Linked DNA regions of Arabidopsis thaliana. The protein of the gene in region 1 interacts with the protein of each later gene in a pairwise test. Each region holds a gene or a part of one and is shown in the gene's direction. Other genes may lie near its edges.

The links. The genes of interacting proteins can lie anywhere in the genome.
Region 2: the proteins of AT5G50180 (region 1) and AT1G78070 interact in a two-hybrid assay, tested with the Arabidopsis thaliana proteins (one large-scale study listed by BioGRID).

What each region holds. Positions count from the first base shown.
Region 1 is NC_003076.8:20,428,802-20,433,667, forward strand, and holds AT5G50180 (Protein kinase superfamily protein), read left to right. Parts: upstream 1-1,651; 5' UTR 1,652-2,314; coding exon 2,315-2,427; intron 2,428-2,667; coding exon 2,668-2,800; intron 2,801-2,890; coding exon 2,891-3,086; intron 3,087-3,323; coding exon 3,324-3,448; intron 3,449-3,531; coding exon 3,532-3,690; intron 3,691-3,767; coding exon 3,768-4,082; 3' UTR 4,083-4,345; downstream 4,346-4,866.
Region 2 is NC_003070.9:29,353,069-29,359,538, forward strand, and holds AT1G78070 (Transducin/WD40 repeat-like superfamily protein), read left to right. Parts: upstream 1-1,875; 5' UTR 1,876-2,047; intron 2,048-2,142; 5' UTR 2,143-2,150; coding exon 2,151-2,294; intron 2,295-2,388; coding exon 2,389-2,562; intron 2,563-2,670; coding exon 2,671-2,757; intron 2,758-3,277; exon of another isoform or gene 3,278-3,367; coding exon of another isoform or gene 3,368-3,398; exon of another isoform or gene 3,399-3,596; coding exon of another isoform or gene 3,597-3,640; exon of another isoform or gene 3,641-3,938; coding exon of another isoform or gene 3,939-4,016; coding exon 4,017-4,151; intron 4,152-4,234; coding exon 4,235-4,345; intron 4,346-4,425; coding exon 4,426-4,517; intron 4,518-4,601; coding exon 4,602-4,707; intron 4,708-4,799; coding exon 4,800-5,300; 3' UTR 5,301-5,942; downstream 5,943-6,470.

The sequences.
Region 1 (4,866 bases):
ACCAAAAATGATCTTAATTTCCTGCCACTGCATATTTCACTATAAATAAATGGGATCAGAAAGTTTACAGTTTTCTTCTCTACTATACTACAAAATTAGTTTAGCTTTCTAAAATAAAATAAGGAAGAAAACCTTAAGTAAAACCAATTACATGTCTAAAATATACTTACAAAAGATCCTCAATTATAAATTTTAAAAAGGTTGTTGTAATATCTCATATCCATTTAGATGACGTCACATACAATTTGCTACCTCTTGTCACTCATTTAAACATACAATACGTTGTACTACGTTGCGACACTTTCACTAGACTGGTGAGATATTTAGAACAAATACGTCAGCCCGATAAGAAATATGTTTTATATTCTTTTACACAAATCTAAGAATGGATTTGTTAACTTGAGATATCTTATGGTTTTTGTTTATGATTTATATCATAAACACGCTTAAGTTACATCTTCACGAAGATACAAATCTGAACAATGTAGATGATGATATGATGCCTCTTTTCTCACGTCATGGATTGATTCTGCGATTAAACGTAAGGTACAACATCTTCATGTTTGTTGTCCTTCAGATGGTATTTGTAATATCCCCATGTTTTTCTAGCTGCAAGACTCGGGTATCCTTAAATCTCGTTGATGTGACCATGGATGATGCCGAGTTCGTTTCTTTACCTTATGCTGTTATGCATTTGTAACGTATTTGGTCTCCCAGTGAGGCCACCTTTGCAAGACTTGTCTCTTGCTATCCTGTATTGGAAGAGTTAAATATTGTTGAATGTTGGAATCTTCCGGAAGTCATTCCGGCTGAATTTTTTTGTCACTGATCAAGAGACTCAAAATAAAGCTATGCGATTCTACGGTTGTACAAGTACATATAAAGATAAATATGGAGTTGTGACTGATGCTCCTCTTTTACGCGATTTGTTTATTGATGATGACCAAGCTGGAAGTTATTTAATAAACAATTTGAGTTCCACTGCCAAGTTAAATGTTTATCTCGCCTTTGGTTTGGACAGTTTTGATGAAGCAACAAGGGTTTCATCGAGGAGAAGTAGCATCCACAATTTTCTGCTCGGGATTTCAAATGTCGGGGAAATGATCATATATCTAAACACTTTAAAGCTATATATGTCATGTCAATTCCAGTATAAGACATGTACGTTCTCTATCATGATTCATGAAAGTTTATGACCTACATTACTTTTCTTTTTGGTTCGAGATCATCTATCAATACTCAAAATTAGAACCGCTTCCTCGGTTTGGTTACATGTCCCACATGTATGCTGATATTTATGTACCTAATTGGAAATGGTTAAAAACATTTCTTGGGAGTTGCCCAAACTTGAAAATCCCTCATCTTGGTAATGATCTGCTAAACTCTAGCTAGTGTGAATCAACTAGTGTTCATGTGTTGTTGTAGCAAAGCTTCTCTGATGATGAAATGCAAAGAAGAAGCTACAGAACTAAAGAAGAACAATGGAAGCATTATAGGTGTGTATAGTACTAATGAATCTCTTTGCTTTTGACCACAAAGCAACCTACTTGGTTCATGTTACACAATCAAATTTGGTTCCAAATGTCACATATAAATAATAATTAAGCATAAAAATTCCCTATTTATAGCCAATATTTGCTTCTGAATATTACTCAAATTAAACCTAAAACTCAGAAGAATGTTTTGAGAAACAAAAGCAAGAAATTTTGAACCATGTGATATGTTTCACCAATCAATCATATAAACTTCTTCTGGTTTATCTTTTTATTATCCTATCATTACCACTCCATACTCATAACTCTCTCTGTCTCTCTATCTCCCTCTCCACATCAAGAAGAAGTCTCTGCTAGTTCCAAAACAGAACAAGTGAATCCCTCAAGTTTCTTATTACAAAACCCAAAAACCAAAGTGAACCAGTGTTGTTGTTTGTACTCACAGATCCATTCTCCACTGATTCATTTCTTGCTCTGCTTCTTCTCTCTTAGTTTTGTTAAGAATCTTCTCTTATCCATTGTGTTTTTTCTATTTTATAAATACATATATAATTTTAGTTGGGGGAGAGCTTGCCTGGTGTCGCCTTCTTCTCTCTCTAAGACTTGTGCTTAATTTACGGACATGTGAAGATACTTCGCTTTTGCCTCATCGAAGGGCATGTTAGCTATTTACTTATCTCTTCTCTTCTCTTCTTTGTCTTGTGAGCTCTCAAATCTTCATAGATACAAATCAAGAAAGTGATCAAACAAAAAAAGGACAAGTCTTTTTGGTATTTCAGATCGAGAAAAAATGTGGTTGCAAGGTTTGAAGTAATCTTGCAATGGATTCTTTGACTGGATTTAGAATGGAACCCAAATGGCAAATTGATCCTCAGCTTCTCTTTGTTGGTCCAAAGATTGGTGAAGGAGCTCATGCTAAAGTCTATGAGGGAAAGTAAGCTCCTTTCTTCTTCTTTGTTAACTTTCTGGATTTGATTTGCTTATGAGATTATTGGGAAAGTTTGGATTTTGATTTGTGGGTAAGTGAAGTCTAGTATTTGTTCTATAAGGGTATGAATAAAATGCTTGTTTGGTACACTCATCTATCTTGATTTGTCTAGTTGAATTATTGAAATTGTAAAGTTGGAGTTTTTAATGGATCTCTACTGTGTTTGGTCGTTATGATCTGAGACAGATACAAGAATCAGACAGTTGCTATAAAGATAGTTCACAGAGGAGAAACACCAGAAGAGATTGCTAAAAGAGATTCAAGATTCCTTAGAGAAGTAGAAATGCTCTCACGTGTTCAACACAAGAATTTGGTCAAGGTTCTTGTTTCTTGAGATCTATGGCTGTTTTTGTTGTTACTAGCTTAAAGGGTTTCATGAGTTCATGATTGTGTTTTGTCTCTGGATCAGTTCATTGGTGCTTGCAAGGAGCCTGTAATGGTGATAGTTACAGAACTTCTTCAAGGCGGTACATTGCGTAAATATCTATTAAACTTGAGACCCGCATGTTTGGAGACTCGTGTGGCTATCGGTTTTGCGCTTGATATTGCTCGTGGTATGGAATGCTTGCATTCCCATGGGATCATTCACCGTGATCTCAAACCCGGTAAAACTACCTCTTTAAACCTGATATGTATCATTTAATGATCTGCTTAAAGTATTTGCAAAACACCTTGCTTCATGGAAACCACATGCTCAGATCTCAATCACAAAGAATCTTTTCTTTCTTTTTTATTGTCTGACACCACACACGCTTCAAGTTCTTTTAATATTCTGGTTATGATTAAGATTTAATCTTAAGTGTTGAAGATGGTGTTAAAGGATCTATTGTTCTGTTTTGCAGAGAACTTGCTTTTAACTGCAGACCATAAAACAGTAAAACTAGCAGATTTTGGATTAGCAAGAGAAGAGTCACTGACTGAGATGATGACGGCTGAGACAGGAACATACCGATGGATGGCACCTGAGGTTCTTCTTTACTTATAGACATATTTGTTCATTTCTTGTGCTTCTCTTTGCTACTTAAAGACAATCTTGGTGGAATATTACAGTTGTACAGCACGGTAACTCTTCGATTGGGAGAGAAGAAGCACTACAATCATAAAGTCGACGCCTATAGCTTTGCAATAGTTCTTTGGGAGCTTTTACACAATAAATTGCCTTTTGAGGGAATGTCAAATCTCCAAGCAGCATATGCAGCAGCCTTCAAAGTGTGTAACACTGTCTTGTTTTGCTTTTGATTTTCGCTGAACTTTATTCTCTTTGTTTTGACATGTTTCTTATACAGAATGTGAGACCAAGCGCGGAGAGCTTACCGGAGGAGTTGGGCGACATTGTAACATCATGTTGGAATGAGGATCCGAATGCTCGGCCCAACTTCACGCATATCATTGAGTTACTTCTTAACTATCTCTCTAAAGTTGGATCTCCGATATCCGCTATTCCACAACGGATTCTTGCTTCGAAGAACACGCTATTGCCACCGGATTCTCCTGGAACTAGCTCTTTGATGGCTAAGCTTGATGAATGTGGGGAAACTCCAAAGGCCAAAAGTGAAGACAAACGAAAAGGTTTGTTTTTCTGCTTCAATCAATGTTATTAACCTTGAAATCACAGAGTGGTTTTAGGACCAGAGATTTGGTAGACATCACTCAAATTATTCATGTAATAATATCCTCCCTACCATATGAATTTAGCAAGAAGTTCATTTATATAAATAAATAGTTATGTAATTGTAATGAATTTAAAAGTAGACGTAAAGAAAAAGTTTCCTAAAGAGGCTCATGTTCCCTAAATGAGAAAGTTTTAGTTTTGTTAAATTTATCGTTTTCTATTTTTCTATCTCTTCTATTATCAAGACTCGAGGATTAAAGAAGTCAACTCTTCATTTTCAACTTTTTTTTTTAATCGTTTTGGTTGTGATTTTTTTTCGACCAATTAGTATCACAAGATGTCGAACTTTTGAAAACCAAAGTTTGATATCTCAAATGCTACCAAGTGTAGGTTATGTGGCTTAGCCAAAGCATGTGTCGCGTGCTTCACGAAATAAGGGACAATTGGTGCATTTAGCGTAGGGATGAAATTAGAAAACTAGAAATGAGAAGTTATCTCAGAGGTCAAATTCATATTTGGTTATTGATTCACGGATCAAATATCCAAATGACTTCTAGCCAAACCGTTAGGAGAAAATCCGTCGGTTGAGAATCATATATGGCGCTGGTGAGTGAGACCACCGAAAACAAACTTTATATTTATGAATATAGTACGATTCAAACGAATCAACATGACACTGGATGAAGACATCGGTGGTATGAATCTTCTGATTTTGAATCTGGTAACACCATCACCATCCAAAATAAGAAAAAAAAAATACGAAAAATGATTAA
Region 2 (6,470 bases), on another chromosome or scaffold:
ATTTTTTATTCAATAGTTGAATAAGTATAATGAAGTTGTTAAATTTTGGTGTTGTGAAGTTTTTGTGTCTTTTTCTGATTTGCTATTTTCATTATTATTTTCAGATTTTTATCTAATCCTATATCCTTGAGATCAATTAGTTTATAGAAAATGTTTTAAAAACAGTTATATCAAAACTCATCATTTTTTAACTATATAAATAGAGATTTGGTTCCTTTAATTTGGACACATAGAAAATCGTATTAGATTGCATATTATCTCAAATAAAATAAACAAAAAGTATTTGATTTTTATCTATTTCTGTTTAATTTAATTTGCTAATAAACTATTTAATTCTTAATCATTTAATTTAATAAAAATCAGGATAGACTGTTGAATTTTATTAAATAAAATAATTGTAGAATAGAAAAAAATAGTATATATATATATATGTTTAATTATTAGATGGAAAAGATAACAAAAATAATGTGAAAAAGAAGGAAAAAAAATGTTGAATTATATTATACCATTATAAATGGTCTTACGGGCCAAAGCCCAATAATATTTTTTCCAAATAGCTTTTAAGGTCTTTGCGTTAAGTCATTTAGCATATATTTTTTTCCCAGTGTACAGCCCAATAAGTCTTTCAAAACGTTTTGGTATCAAAACATGTAATAGCGTTTTTATATATCAAGAATTGTTTAAGAAATGTACTGAACCGTCCAACCAACCATATAAGTGATAATGGATAGCAATATTATTATAACCTTATCAGGTCAGGCCATATGTCACAATCAACCTAATTGTGATCTATAAAAGTTCACCTGGTCACGTATCTAGGTTTGACTGGATAAAAATTGTCGGTTTCAAACAATTAATACAACAATATTACTAGTAGATAATTTGTTTCTGTCTCAGCTAAATGTTTGGTGGAAGGAGCTTTGTAGAGAAATTCATTTGAAGTAAAAAAATCTAACACAAATTCAACATGTTCAGAATAATAATTCACAGCTGGGTAAATTTTAATTTACAATTATTGAGTTTTTTTTTTTTTTTGTTTATGTCAAACTCAAAACTAGTGCCACGTGGAGGAAGCTAAGCCTATAAACGATTATGACCGACAGTTGTCACTCTAGAAGTAGCGGTCCTTGTGACGGCATAAGCTGGTCATAACCGCTTAGTGGTGATGATTTGACGAAATTGCCCATTAAGCGACTGTGAGATGTCGGTAGACTACGATGGCCACGTTCCACAGAGAGTGACACTAACAACCAAAACCTATTTTATTACTATTTTTTCTTTTGTCATTAGTATTTTATTACTAATTGTTTGAATATTTCCTCGTGGTCTATTATTATTAAACACTCTAGTCCTCTTATTGTTCATTAAAATTGTCTGACGCTTGTCTCTTCCTTTCGTTTTCTACTAGAAAATTCAGCTATTTTCTTAATGTTTTATATCTCGTAAACTCTTAAGTTGTAACAGTGTTTCAATATAATTTGAACACATATTGAAGTTTAGTCCAAAATTCTTCTTCTCCAGAATATATCCAAATCGAGTCACAATGGAAAACAAATTCTCCTTTGTAGGTAAATAGAAACAAACAATAATTGTGGCATTAAAGTGTTTTAAAACGAGATCCCAATAATTTACATCAGTAAGATTTCAAAAGTGTGTAATTAGAATAAACAATAAACCTCCACAATTTGGAAGATATTTTGTTTCCATATTTGTCGCGTATAATTTATTATATTGTCAATTCTCGAGAATTTTTAACGTTTTGTTTTGACCAGGTAACGACTGTTCCGGTAAATATGTAGGTCCAAAAACTTCCCGCGGACTTAACTCGTTTTGAAATCCGCTGTTTGGTTTTCTTTTTTTATTACCGGCTCTAACCGGTCCTACCCAAAACCTTGTCATGTCCTCTCATTCCTCCACCGTTTATAAGTAGGCCCTTAACTCCAATTCCCACCGTTTCTTCGCTAACCACACAAAGCTTGTTCTTCTCCTTCCTTCTCCAATTTCGTAAGCTCAAAGATTTCGATTTCGATTTTGATTATTGCCAAAGGTACAAACTTTTGAACACAGGTTTGTTTATTTTGTTTCACTCTGTTCGATTTTATGGGGTTTTATTTATATTTTGTTCTTGATCGATTTTACCAGGTTTAAAGATGGATATTTTCGACAACTCTGATCTTGAATACCTTGTTGATGAATTTCACGCTGATTTCGATGATGATGAGCCCTTTGGAGAGGTTGATGTCACCAGTGAGTCTGATTCCGATTTCATGGACTCCGATTTTGATTTCGAGCTGGTATGATACTTTACTCTGCTTCAAGTTTAGGAAAGGCTTGAAATTTAATGGATGTGATGAAATTAATAGCAAACTTGTTATGTTGTTGTTTTAGAGTGAGAGTAAGACGAACAATGAAACATCAGCGTTAGAAGCTAGGAATGGAAAAGATATTCAAGGGATTCCATGGGAGAGCTTGAATTACACGAGGGATAGATACCGTGAGAATAGATTGCTGCACTATAAAAACTTTGAGAGTCTGTTTCGATCCAGAGAAGAGCTTGATAAGGTTCGTCTTAGCCAATCAAAGTTTTTATAGCTTATGATGATGGATGATTTGAAATCTTGAGTTTTGGTGTGCATCTTTCTTATGATTTCTTGTATTTTTTGTTGTCAGGAATGCTTGCAAGTAGAGAAAGGAAAGAACTTTTATGACTTTCAGTTCAATACAAGGCTTGTCAAGTCCACAATAGCGCATTTTCAGGTAGAGAACTTGACCAACTATGTTTGCTATGTTTGGAATACTCTGTTTACTGATGCTTGGAGTCATCTAGGTTTTCACTCTTTATCATATATAAATCCTCTGTGTTGCTCAGCTCTTGTCTTTAGCAGTCGTGTCTGCAACTGCAAACAGTAGTTCCACAGTGGCTTCTTATCACGCATGAGTTCTCTAGTTACATGGAAATATTTTATGAGCTTAGAGATTGTAGTTCCATGCTGATTTCAGTGTCACAATTCTTTCACACCGAGTCTGAAAACCCCAACTTTTAAGTGAGATCTGCCAAACTTATTTTGAAGATGAAAAATGTATCTGTTGTCAGTGTTTATTCTTTTTGTTAATTATGTTTGATCTTAGAATTTGCGATAACTCTTCCTGTTTTCTTATGTTGATCATTGTTCCCACCTTCAGCGCTGTAGCTGGGGGTGTTGATTCACACAAAGTCCTTTTCTTTTGCAGATAGTCTTCAAGGGTGCTTAATTTAACCTGCTCGTTTCTAACTTCTCGAAATATAATAACTTAGGTTCGTTTTTTACTCAGGGACAATATTAAGGTTCTAACTGATTCAAAAAGAGTGTCATGATATGTTTCTAGGATGATCGAGGCAGAGTTGATATATCTAACTGGTACAGGCAACTTTTTAACATCTTCATATACTTTCATCACCTCAAAAATTAGAGTCAGAGAGTGTATTAAGATTCCCTTGCACATTAGACGTCGCTCAATGTCCATTATTAGACCACGGGAACTGTATTGAAGATTTAACACTACCTCTGCTGCATTTTGAGAAACAGTTACTGTATGACTTAACCTTTCTTAAACAGGTTGGAAGAGCAGCTGGCGCCTTAAGGAAACCTTTGTTAATATGGTATGATAGGAAATGTTTGCTAATCTGCAAGGACTCTCTAACTTTGTCATCCTTATTTCTTACAGGAAATCTTTTTGTTCAAGCTTATATGAGTGCTTCAATATCATCTGCATTTTTTCGTGATACTATGCTCTTGTGCTTCTTATTATTTCTTTTGGTTTTGGTCTTCTCTTCTTTCTTTTTTTTCTGGCACAGTTGCTTCATAAACGATTAATGCTGAAGTTTTTAAAGTCAACATTTGATTACTGAAACGGTTGCTTTGTTTCCTTCTTGGCTTGTGTTTTGTGTGAGAACTTGCATGTTCTCTGCTTTTTTGTGTAAGATGACCAGTTGTATCCTATGCAACAATCCTAATCATTATTGTCTCATTTTACAGCTGAGGAACTTGGTATGGGCAACATCAAAGCACGATGTGTATTTCATGAACAACTACTCTCTCATGCACTGGTCATCTTTGTTGCAAAGGGGCAAAGAAGTACTTAATGTGGCAAAGCCCATTGTTCCTTCAATGGTAAGCAACCTAACTCGTTCCATCACTTGTTCTTGAAACCTCGGAATTCAACTATATATTAACTTTGGTAATTTAATCTTCAGAAGCAGCATGGATCGTTGTCACAGTCTGTATCAAGAGTCCAGATAAGCACCATGGCAGTTAAAGACGATTTGATAGTTGCGGGAGGGTTCCAAGGAGAGCTTATCTGTAAGGTATATTAATATATTCTCTGTTCTGCAGTGATCTTATTGTTAATTTGTTTGCTCATTTTGCGTGGTCACTCTGATTCCAGAAAATCAACGAACCTGAGGTTGCTTTCTGCACTAAACTAACATCAGCTGATAACGACATCACCAATTCGGTTGACATCTACAACGCACCTAGGTGATTACTAAACAGAACATACATTGGTTTTCAAAAAACCAAAAAAAACAACTCTTCTAATTCTTGCTTCCTTAATCCATGTAGTGGCTCGTTAAGGGTTATGACCGCGAACAATGACTGTACTGTCCGGCTATTTGATGCCACAAACTTTGCCTTGCTCAACAGATTTGCCTTTCACTGGTCTGTAAATGTAAGTGCATCTCTTTCTCATAAGACTCAACTGTTTTCATCTGCTATTGATTCAAAGTGTTCATAACTAATGTTTTTGGTGTGTCTTTGTAGAACATCTCCACCAGTCCAGATGGTAAGCTAGTGGCTGTTCTAGGAGACAGTCCTGAGTGCTTACTAGCAGATACCGGATCTGGAAAAGTGATCCACGGACTCGAAGGCCATCTCGACTACTCGTTTTCATCAGCATGGCACCCAAACGGTCAAATCTTAGCCACGGGTAACCAAGACACAACCTGTAGACTATGGGACGTAAGGAACCTGTCTCAATCACTCAAAGTCTTGAAAGGAAACATGGGAGCTATCAGAGCCTTGAGGTTCACGTCTGATGGACGGTTCTTAGCCATGGCTGAGCCAGCGGACTTTGTACACTTGTTTGACACGGAAGCTGGTTACAGTCAGTGTCAAGAGATTGATCTGTTTGGAGAAATAGCGGGAATCTCGTTTAGCCCCGACACGGAGGCACTGTTCGTGGGAGTAGCTGATCGTACGTACGGCAGCTTGTTGGAGTTTAACAGGAAGCGAAACCACTCGTATGTTGATTCCATATTCTGATCTGACTCCAATCGTTAGAAGCAAATTAAGGAGCTATATGTATGTGTGAGATTATGGTTGTAGTGGCTGTTGGAGGGATTAAAAGTCGTTGTTTTTGTGACTTTCCCTTTGTCATGTTTATGTGGTTTTAGGAATTCCATGTTTGGTCAACTGTAGAACATACGTACTTATATGAGTGCTGTTAAACTTTGAAGACACAACTTGTAGGCTATGGGGACGTGAGGAACCTGTTAAAATTTGAAGCCCAACTCGATGTTCAGAAGCAGCACCAGGCCTTTATTTATAATAAAAATTTGTGGCTTGAAGAATGTGATTGGGGTCGATGTGGGACAAAAACAACAACTAGTTTCACGGGCTTTAAATAGTTGAAGCCCAATTAGGTGATTAAATGTGCTGTGAAACAGTACTGATGGTTGGGAGAAGTTGAGATTGAAAGGATTTTAGAGCAGCATCTAATACTAAAAGTAGTAGACATAAAGATGGTTAAGGAGATTTTGATAGTCGAGATTTCTATCTTTTTCTCAAGACGAATAAAGCAATTAAGGAAGTGTCATGTACTCATGTGTGAGTGAGCCACTTAATGTAATGTTAAAGCTTTACGAAACATTCCTCAATTACACCTAACCTTCTTCTTATAACAGAAAATAAAGAGTCCTTTGATTCTATTTCTTCAATAACCTTTTCTTTTTTCTTTAAAACGTGTCACATATTATAATTGCATTCTAATTTCTAAGAGAACAACAACTCTTTGATATCTTTCATCGAGATTCAACAATAATGGTATTACAATTCAAATTGGGAACTATGTGCAACTGAAAAGGCAAATGTAATAGCGTCCAAAATTCTGTACTTATTTTTTGATCTCCTCCATTGATGAAAAAAGAAACTTGTACTTAATAGCTTAGTATATAAAAATGGAGAAATGGACCATATGTCACGTTAATCACGATATCACGCGAAAACGATAAAACCAAAGAAGAAGAAGAAAAAGGTATTATGAACAAAATGTGACGGTGACAATTCACCTAAACTTCACATGCCATTCATCTTCCTCACAAAACGCCATCCAACTGCTCTGAAAACGACACCACCCTCAGTTTTTTGTTTTCGCAAAACTCTCTAATTCAGTCCAAATAGTTTCTATTTTGTATATTAACAATTTCTTATATC